2 linked regions of the Drosophila melanogaster genome follow. The protein of the gene in region 1 interacts with the protein of each later gene in a pairwise test. Each region holds a gene or a part of one and is shown on either strand. Other genes may lie near its edges. The genes, in order: Snp and CG8388.

What was found.
Region 2: the proteins of Snp (region 1) and CG8388 interact in a two-hybrid assay, tested with the Drosophila melanogaster proteins (one large-scale study listed by BioGRID).

The regions. Positions count from the first base shown.
Region 1 is NT_033778.4:22,059,187-22,064,131, forward strand, and holds the start of Snp (snipper), read left to right. Parts: upstream 1-1,763; 5' UTR 1,764-2,372; coding exon 2,373-2,395; intron 2,396-4,945. Other genes in the region: CG13501 (uncharacterized protein), read right to left, coding at 9-673, 726-875, 926-1,008, 1,073-1,319, 1,378-1,474. UniProt on the Drosophila melanogaster protein: A broad-specificity exonuclease, capable of degrading both structure-specific DNA and RNA targets without sequence specificity in vitro. Requires two to five unpaired nucleotides in the 3' region for efficient binding and nuclease activity.
Region 2 is NT_033778.4:16,008,788-16,013,448, reverse strand, and holds CG8388 (uncharacterized protein), read left to right. Parts: upstream 1-2,010; 5' UTR 2,011-2,110; coding exon 2,111-2,230; intron 2,231-2,293; coding exon 2,294-3,240; intron 3,241-3,294; coding exon 3,295-3,676; intron 3,677-3,732; coding exon 3,733-4,002; 3' UTR 4,003-4,048; downstream 4,049-4,661. Other genes in the region: CG8389 (uncharacterized protein), read right to left, coding at 1-776, 835-1,308, 1,379-1,456.

The sequences.
Region 1 (4,945 bases):
CGTGAGATTTAACTACTATCGGCAATATCCCGACGCAACCAATCGACCAAAGCATCACGGGCGCATTCCGCATCAGCATCCAGGCAGAACAACTTGCAGATGTCCTGCAGCCAGTTGCCAATGATGTAGCGCTTAATGCACGGCATTACACCCAACTCCCGAAACACTTTAAGGCAATAAATTTGCAGGCGGGGATTATCCGTCGTCGAAGTCATGAGACGACCCACATAACACGGCAGTTGGGTGAACTCCCTGCTGCGCCACAATGCCCGCTTGCTATGGAGCCCATTGAGCAGGGCCAAAGCCGTATATTCCCAGTTCTCCACCTTCTGGCGAGGCAGCAACATTCGCGGATTCTCATCGGGCTGGGCAAAGACGTCGTAAAGCAGCTTTACACCATCCACGGCATCGAAACGCCGCTGACCCTCAGCACAGCAGAGTAGCAGCGCAAATGCCTTGGTGTTCATGTCCCAGAAGTTGGACAAGCGGTTTAGGATCCTCGAGTGCAGCAGCTCGAAGAGGCCCAGCTCGATGCCCCGATCGGGTGCCACTTCCAGCATGTCACACAGGTGATGCCACAAATGCAACGGGAATTGCGGACGGCATGGATCCTGTCTGAAGATCTCGGCTAAGGCGGAAAAGTTTTCAGGATCCTCCAGGAATATACCCAGAACTAGGAAAAAATATAACACCGTTAAATCCAATGAAGTGCATGCAGAGCTCACCTTTTGGCTTGCATGTCAAATTTCGCAATATCTCTGAAGCCAATTCATCCTTAATAGGCTCTTGGTTCTTAATGATTTTATAAAACTCCACCCTTAAGCACTTGCGGTTGGCTATATTTTCGGCTCCATCCAAATTGCGGGATAGTATATCTTTAAGAAATAAAAGCTTATTCTAAGAATTCACACAACCTTCAACTTACTATAAATCCTTAGATACATCTCCACCTCCCGGTGCTCCTCCTTGTGATGCTTCAATCTCATACGCATAAAGGCATTCTTCAACCTATTGGTAGGATAGAAACTGGATGATATCAAAAAAAAAAAACTCCTCAATGCAGACAACCCACTTTCTAACAAGGTCCATTTCAATGATAGCTCTTTGGGCATTCAGTGGATTTAGAACGAATTCCGACAACGATACGACTGCCTTCCAATGGGTCAGCCTAACATCACTATCCAGTTCTTTGAGCAATTTGGGCAGTGCAAACCAGCCGTAGGCCAGTTCAGCACGATCCGCCAGGTGCGTCGAGGTCGAATTGCAGCAGAGCGGCATACACTTGCAAATATTCCGTTTCTCCATATGATGCGTCCACTCTGTAATCCATTTTTTTTATGATTATCCTTCGCTGATTATATATCGCAACTAAATTACCCGTAGTCTGCAAGCTGTTTATGGAGGTCGGCTTCATCACATCCTTGATTTCGTGTTGCAGAAAGTGATTGCGATATCTCGCTAGCTGCTCCCACATTTTGGTTTAATGGTTTGTTGTTATTATAATGAGAAAATACAATACGTGTCAAATGCCAGAACTTTTTTCAAAAATCAACTTCTATTCTACGTTTCAACTTAACATTTCTGTTAGGAAAACTATGTTTCTGTACTGTAAAGCGCCATTGCGGCTGAGAACGTAACCCAATTGGTTGGAAGCTCAACTGCGTGTTGAATATTATGAAAAGGTTCGAAGCTCGGATGCAACAGCTGTTCGTCGCCTGAAATCGATATATCGCAATTTGGTTGATATATTTCGCCGATTCAATGCCGCTGCATTTGTGAACGGACGCCGAGCGAGTTACTACCGAATATTAGATGCGGACTGCAAGCGCAGCTATACGAGAATATACCGACAGGCACGCAAAATATGCAAATACCAGGAGTGCATCTCTATTGACCGGTCAAATACTCGGCTTGGCGGATAGTGCATTTGCAGTTGCAATTTCATCAATCGCCAAATGCACTTGACTGAAAGGCTGTACAAAAAAACAAAGAGAAAAAACCCAGTGTGCGTGCGGGAATATGTAAAAAAAAAACGAGTTAAATAAATAGCTAAATAACAAGCAGAAAGCAGAACGTAAGTATCGAAAAAGCGCAGTGTTTTTGTTGTGCCGGCTGAAATAAATTCGATTGTGTGCGCGCGCGTTTGTTTGTGTGTCGGCATGTGCGTGTGAGTGAGCAGACAACAAAAGGAATTCGGCTCGCTCAACTTCTTCCTAGTTTACCGTTACTTGCACTGCCAAAATCGCAAAAAATAAGGGGAATAGGGAGATAAATAAATAAGCCGACGAATTTCGAATAGCATAAATAGTAGCTCCTGCCAAAAAAAAAAAGAAGAAAAATCAGAGAAACGTCAGTCAAATCGAAAAACAGAAATGGCCTTGATAAAACTAGCAAGGTGAGTTTTTATTCTGTTTTCTCGCTAATATTACCTATAAAGTATGTGTATAGGAATTTTCCCGTTGAAAGTTGTAGTCCACCTTCTCTTTCTTTGCTTTTCCACTTAACAAACCGCAATTAAGTTGGCCAGGGGCGGAGTTTCCACCGAAAGGGGGTTTTTCCAGCACTTGCCCACGTAAATTGATTTTCTGTGGCCCCGTCATCCTGTCGTGCTGACCTGAACTGACCCCATTTTTCATTTCCATTTTCCGACAAAAGAACAAAGTCCGCAGCCTGAAAAATCCGGCCCTGGCCTTTTTTTTTTATTGTTGCCTCTTGGTCAACAGCAAAGCGCTTGAGGCCGTGTAATAACTTTCGGGCAAATATTTATTTCCCAGCAACGAGTTGTTGATATTGAAGTTGGTCAATGCACTTTGGCGCCCCTGAAACGCACTTCAAATATCGCTAAGTGTAATCAGGGACTCGGAAAAACGATGATAACAATAATTAAGCATATTGCAGAATCGTAGATATACATACAATTATATTTATGTATTTCAATTGTATGATAATATGATATACTTAATACCAGTACATTTACATTTACAAAAATAAACATCCTTGTGCTTAGATCCAAATTAATTTCGCATGAAATATTTTCGAAATCTTCATAATACCAGTTTCGCAACCAGATTAAACTACTTTTTAGAACACACAACGAACAATCGAATCTAATTTGAACAAGATCAATTCATAAACTTAAGAACACAGCGAACGTAGGATTATGATAATCTGAATTTCAAATGAACTGCTAATAATAGGAAAACTTACGTGAGGTCTGTGCAATTAATTCTGTTATTGTCTAACAACTAACAATGTATTTGTTTACCTTCTCGATTTCGTTTGTTGACTTTTCCAGCATGTACAACAACTAAACAAACTAGCTATCTGGCTATCGAATTTCCAACGCCATTATATCCACTATCCCCTTCACTATAGACTCCGATATTTATTTATTTGCTGTTTACGTTCGCAAAAAAAAAACCAAACAGTCGCAAATCACACATGATTAAATTAATCAAGCGGCGCACAGGCGTTAAGTTTGCGATCAGTTGATTGATGGCCCGCTGACTGATTGGCCGCGTGCTCAGCAATCAGAATTGGGACTATCCCATACGCCACATACACTTTGCCCGGAGGATCCGAGCTGCACTTGCTGCACTGTGAGTGCCCCACTTCTAATGGTCCGCACATAGTTGGAGCAGTGATTCACCTGACCCATTCCCTGGAAGGGGTTCGGTGGTCCAAAAATAACTCCCAGCCTTTCAGCAATTGAGATCAGAGTTGCTGGGACACGGACTTTGGTAATTGAGTGTAATTGGAAGTGAACACGAGACCACTCACTCCAATCCCCAGATCTCGGTGGCCAGATGACGGATGACAGGCCCAGTGGAAGCTGCAAAAGTGCAGCAGATTGCATCCACAAAGAATGTGTCTGTATCGCGGCCCGATGGCCCCAATATGTCCTCGCCTGACCTGCTAGTTCAATTTGCACATGAAACATACAGTATGTATTCTTCGAGTACCACCACCTCATATATGCATGTTTATATATATATATATATATATATATATATATATATTCATATTTATATGGCTGTGCAGTGGAAACTTTTGTGGACTACAATGAGAATGCAATAAAACTAAAACGGGAGGCTGCATTGATAAAGCGAGTAATCTATATGACGACATGGTCTCGAGTTACTCTGTAAATAGCACCCTGCGCACATGGAGCGTATTTACATACCACATATACATATATGTACGTACATACTATGTATCTGCGTAATCTCGGGCTGTTTGAAAGCCCTATTGTTATACGACTCGTGCTGGCGACTGTTTAATTTAATTATGACTGTTTCATTAATTGAAGTGCGTAGTATTCTATAAATGGAAATCTTGCGGCCGCAATAACAACGCGCATGGGGCATCAAATGAAAGCTTCCAATCAAGATCAGTGCTTTATAACTTTTGTCAATCTTAACTCAGTTCGATTTGTCACTCCACTTCAGCAAAGTCGTAGATCTTCGATTGATAAGCAGTACTTCCTTTGTCTTGGCCAAAATGCACCTGATCGATCAATGGGAGGTCTTGGCCATCCACTCGTGAGTAGACTCAGCTATCTTTGTAAAGTTGCGCAATTTCCAAGCTGGTCGCACATCGAATTCTAGTTCTCATTCCCACACGAAAACCCGTTTAAAAAAACAAACCAACAAACAAATGAGCTAATGTGCTTGAATACGCTTAAGATCGGTTTGAATATACATATAAGATCCGAATTTTGGGTGGTTCTCATATAAATTGTAATGCTATTTACGAATCTAGCTGTTATTAAGTAAAGGATCGCATTATCTATAATTTCAACACCTAAATGGCTAAAAACGTAGGCGCCTTTACGGCCAGTTTAAGATCGTAAACAAAGCTGTGCGAACTGTCTCAGTGGCAGTAGCAGAAACGGAATATACTTATTATTATTGCTCAGTTTATAGCTTATTATTTGCAACAATTG
Region 2 (4,661 bases), 6.1 Mb from region 1:
TACAATATCTCCGGTGTCCAAACAAGAACCACCACCAGCAGAATGACTCCTTGAGCATAAAGGCAGATTAGGTAGGAGTCGGCGTAGTCTCGCACCCATCCCAGCAGCTGGCCCACTGTGATAACAATAACGCCCTTGGACATCATGCTCAGACCCAGACCGCCGGCCAGTTTTTCCGAGCGGCAATGCGCCGATATGGTGAGATTGTTGTTGATTACAGTGGCTGATTTCATCATGCCTGTCAACACAGACATGGTGATGATCACGGGCAGCGTTTGATTCTCGGCAAGCACACAGCGAGCGACAAAGAGTCCAACAATGCCGATCAGGAACACTACGCGATAGGGTATTCTAAGGTGATCTGTGACGATGGGCAGCAGCAAACGGAACACAATGTCGGCGCCAGCCACAAGGGACATGCAGAAGGCCACCATTTGGCTGTTAAGTTGTGCCGTTTGTCCAAGAAAACCAGGAAAGATCATCGTGAAGTTTATGGTGGCCGTATAGACTAGAGCCATGCCCACAATGATGCTCCAGAATACTAAATCTTTGAGCAGCTCCAGATCCATTGCCTGTACCAACCGCTGTCCCATTCGGCTGCACAGAGTATCCACATTTGGCGGGCTACGCTCGATCTTGCTTTGATTAGTCGGAACAATCACCACCTGAAGGGGACTAGTCTTTTCCCCATCGGCCTCGGTCAGGAGTCGAATGTGTTTGCGGTTGTTGTGCTTGGCAGGTGGGTTTAGTGGTTTCAAGAAGGCAGCACCAAAAAGCTGTAAGGTACTCGGGCTGTAAGCATTGGATCAACATAATATTATATTCTTAACTTACCCCAAATAGTGATAGGGAAGACATGGATAGGACTGCGTAGCGGAAGCCGTGGTTATCCAAGAGGTAACGCACTAGGTGAGGGATAAGCACCTGTCCAAGGCCAGCACCTGCCAATGAAACACCTACAGCCCGTCCTCGTTTAGTGGTGAAGTACGAGTTAATGGCCATGAATGTGGACGGCGAGATGAGGCCGAGTCCAAAGCCTACGAAGAAACTGTAGCCCAGAATGAAGTGCCAGCTTTCAGAGGCAAAGGCGCACAGAGCCAGGCCCAGGGCGACTAGGATGCAACCTGTAGCAGCTACATTTCGCGGCTTAAAGCTCTTAATCGCGGGTCCAATGAAGAGGCCAGAGAAATTGAGAGCTAGGCTGTTTAGATTCGTGATCAGGGCCGCCGTAAATGTGTCCTCTTGCATTTTCTGCAGCTCACCCACAAAGAGCTGGCCGAACACTGACAAAATGGATTGGTTGGTCATCTGGATGCCGGCATATGCAATAAATATGTTTAGTTTTGGGTATTCCTTTTAAAGACTATTGAACACTCACATTAATCAATGCAACGGCGGCCACCACAATCCATCCGTAGCCCCCATCGGGGACAACGCGACTCGATTGCACATCCATGACTGTGCTCTCCGAGTTTCTCGTCGAGATTAAGCTGGCTAAAAATATGTAAACAGCGATAAGTGGACTGTTATTAAAACGTCTGGATTTGTTTATGGCGTCTAAAGACAGGTGTAAAAGTGCGTTCCGATAAGCCCGGCGAAATGGCATTTACCCAGTGGAGACGAGTTGAACGGCTCGTCTCAGAGATTTCCCCAAACTGCGTGGCCATTTCGCAAGCAACGTTTTAACAAATTAAGGCGAATTAAAGCCTAAATTAAAATAAATTAATCCCAAAGTCACAAAACTTTGAATCAGTATGACCTCTCTGCGAATGCCATAAAACGTATATTCGGAAATATTGCGCACTTCCAGATATTGCGATATGCACCTTCTTTTTATGTGCGAAACTGTCAGTACAGATTCGTTTAATAAAATATTTAGGGTTTACTTTTCCAGATAGTGCTTATCTAAGTGCTTATTATAAGCAAGTGAAAACAAATAACCCGAAGTTTTTAATTCAAAAACACGACTATGGTCCCACTATTCTGGCGCCGCTTATCGATAGCCGCTAGCGATGACAGTAATCAGCTGTGCTTTGCCCTGTTTTCATTTGTAGAATAACACACATTTTTAATAATTTTTTTTGTATATTTTCGCGCGTCTCTCTCACAAATGCCTTGTTTTCTGTGCACTCAGACTGTGGATGATGCGGCGGGCAATATAGAGTTTGCCTCGGAGGAAGCCGATTCACTTGGCCTGCGGTGCATCATCGAGAAACACTTCTGGCTTCAGGTAAACAAACAAATATTACCTGTGTTATTATTGTTATTGTTATTGAAGAGTGATCTTTTTCAGATCCCTGACTCAAAAAGAGCCGGCTATGTGTGCGGCCCCTGCTGGGAGCAGCTACTGCTCTTTCACAACTTTTACCTCAATGTGGAACAAGCCCACAAAGCGCTGGAGCAAACTGTTTTGAAGGAGACATCTCCGCCAGAAGTGGTTGCTTCCGCTCTAGAAGAGCACATCGTTAAAAGCGAGCATGACGACAGCGTAGCCGCTGCCGTCAAACGCCGACGTGGACGTCCTCGAAAAGTCGCTCAACAGGATGCACGCGAGGAGTTGAAGAGCGTGCTGGAGCAAATCAATTTAAATGAAATAAAAATCGAGTTCCCCGAAGCTGACTTGACAATTGCCGATGTGCTTGAGGATCAGGAGGAGCAGGATTTCCTACCCGACGACTGCATCAGCAAGGAGGGAGCGGAGGATCCAGAGGTTTTGGAGAAAAAACCGCCGACGCTTAAGCGAAAGGTTAGCGGACGCTCAAGAGGTCGTCGACGCGTGCAACTCGCGGAACGGCCCAATACAAGCTGTCTGCCCAAAATCCAGAAATCACAAGAGTTTAATGATTATATTCGCGAGCACTATAAAGTTCAGTGCCACATCTGTAACTTGCCAATGGAGGACTTCTCCGAGATGCTGGCCCATGTACGACGGGAGCACAAGCAGCGCGGCTATGCAATGTGTTGCAACCGAAAATTCCTTAAGCGGGGAGTTCTTGTCGACCACTTGCGCCGCCACCAGGACCCTGAAACCTTTAAGTGCTCCATCTGCGGCCGCGTGATGGGCCACCGTCGAAGTCTTGAGTTGCACATGCGCATGCATGAGATCAAATCTCGCGGACGACTATACCGCTGTGAACAGTGCTCCAAGGCCTTCTACAGCGCCGTCGTCTATGAGCGCCACAAGCTGACTCACATTCCACGAGAGCAGTGGAAGGTCCCTTGCACGCACTGCGAGAAAACGTGAGTGACCGAAAGATTTACTCTTTCTCAGATAGCTACATTTGTATTTTTCAGTTATCCCAGTCAGTATACGATGCAGCAACATGTTAAGCTGGTCCATTTGAATTTATATGCCAAGATCTGTGATGTCTGTGGAAAATCGATCAGAGGACGCGAAGCCTTGGCCAGGCACATGGAGGAGCACACGGGAGGGCCGCAGGCAGCAATCAAATGCCACTTGTGCGACTCAATGCTAACCACCAAATATGGACTGGCCCGCCACATAAAAATGATGCATACCGCTGAGAACCTGCAGCCGATGCAGTGTGAATTTTGTCTTAAGATATGCCCCAGTCTACAGGCACACCAGCACCATATCAAGTACACCCACAATACGGCACGTAGTCATCAGTGTCCTATGTGCGAAAAGGCCTTCAAGAGACCAAATGAACTAAAGGTAATTAGCGAAATCAGTGACCGATGAAAGCAATTGATTTTGAACTGTTCTTGCAGGAACACATGACAACCCACACGGGCGAGGTTTTGTACACATGCCCCCATTGCCCGCAAACCTTCAATTCAAATGCCAACATGCATGCGCACCGCAAAAAGGTGCACCGCAAGGAGTGGGAGGAGAACCGACACAAGCGACTGAATCGTTCTCGCAAATCAGACACCATCATCGCCGTCAGCGTACGAAAGACCACAGAGACCAGGCAGGATGGAGGGTTGGTACCTGCAGAAGCGATAGCAACTACCAGCAGCCCTCGAGCAGAATGCTAGCCCTAGGTGACCTTTTGACGCAATAAAAAACCAAATGGGACACCGTACCCCTATTGTGATGACTGCAGTGGCGGGGTAAACAAATTATGTGATTATTAATTGAAATCCCTGTGTCGATGGGATCAACCGGCTGAAACTGGTTTGTCCATCTGCCCCCCGATCATCTCGAACTGGTAAAACGGACATCGGAGCTGGCGTTATCAGCGATTAAGGTCGAATCTGGTAATTCATAACACATATAGACGCATATAGCACAACGGTTCAGTTTAAATACTCTTATTTTGACGACGACCAACCCGGGATGCTTCAACGGCTCAGGCAGACGGAGAAACCAGTTTGAGTCGGTTTGGAAAAGTGGATTTAATCCTTATCAGCGAATTGGCATTATCATGGTATCAGTTCAAAGGTATCATCAATCGGCGTGTGTGTTTGTACACATTCTAGTCTTCTGCGGAATCCTCAATCTGTGCCAAAGAAATGACTAGGCACGTTATGATGTTTTGTTTTTTCATCTGTGGCAACATCTTATTTACCAATGGAATATTTGGAAAGTTTTGCAAGCCACACATGGTGCGACGCAAATCTGCCATGATCTATTGACCTTTTTTTTTGCATCACCACTTCGATGGCTGTGATTCCCATTGGTTTAAGTGATTCCC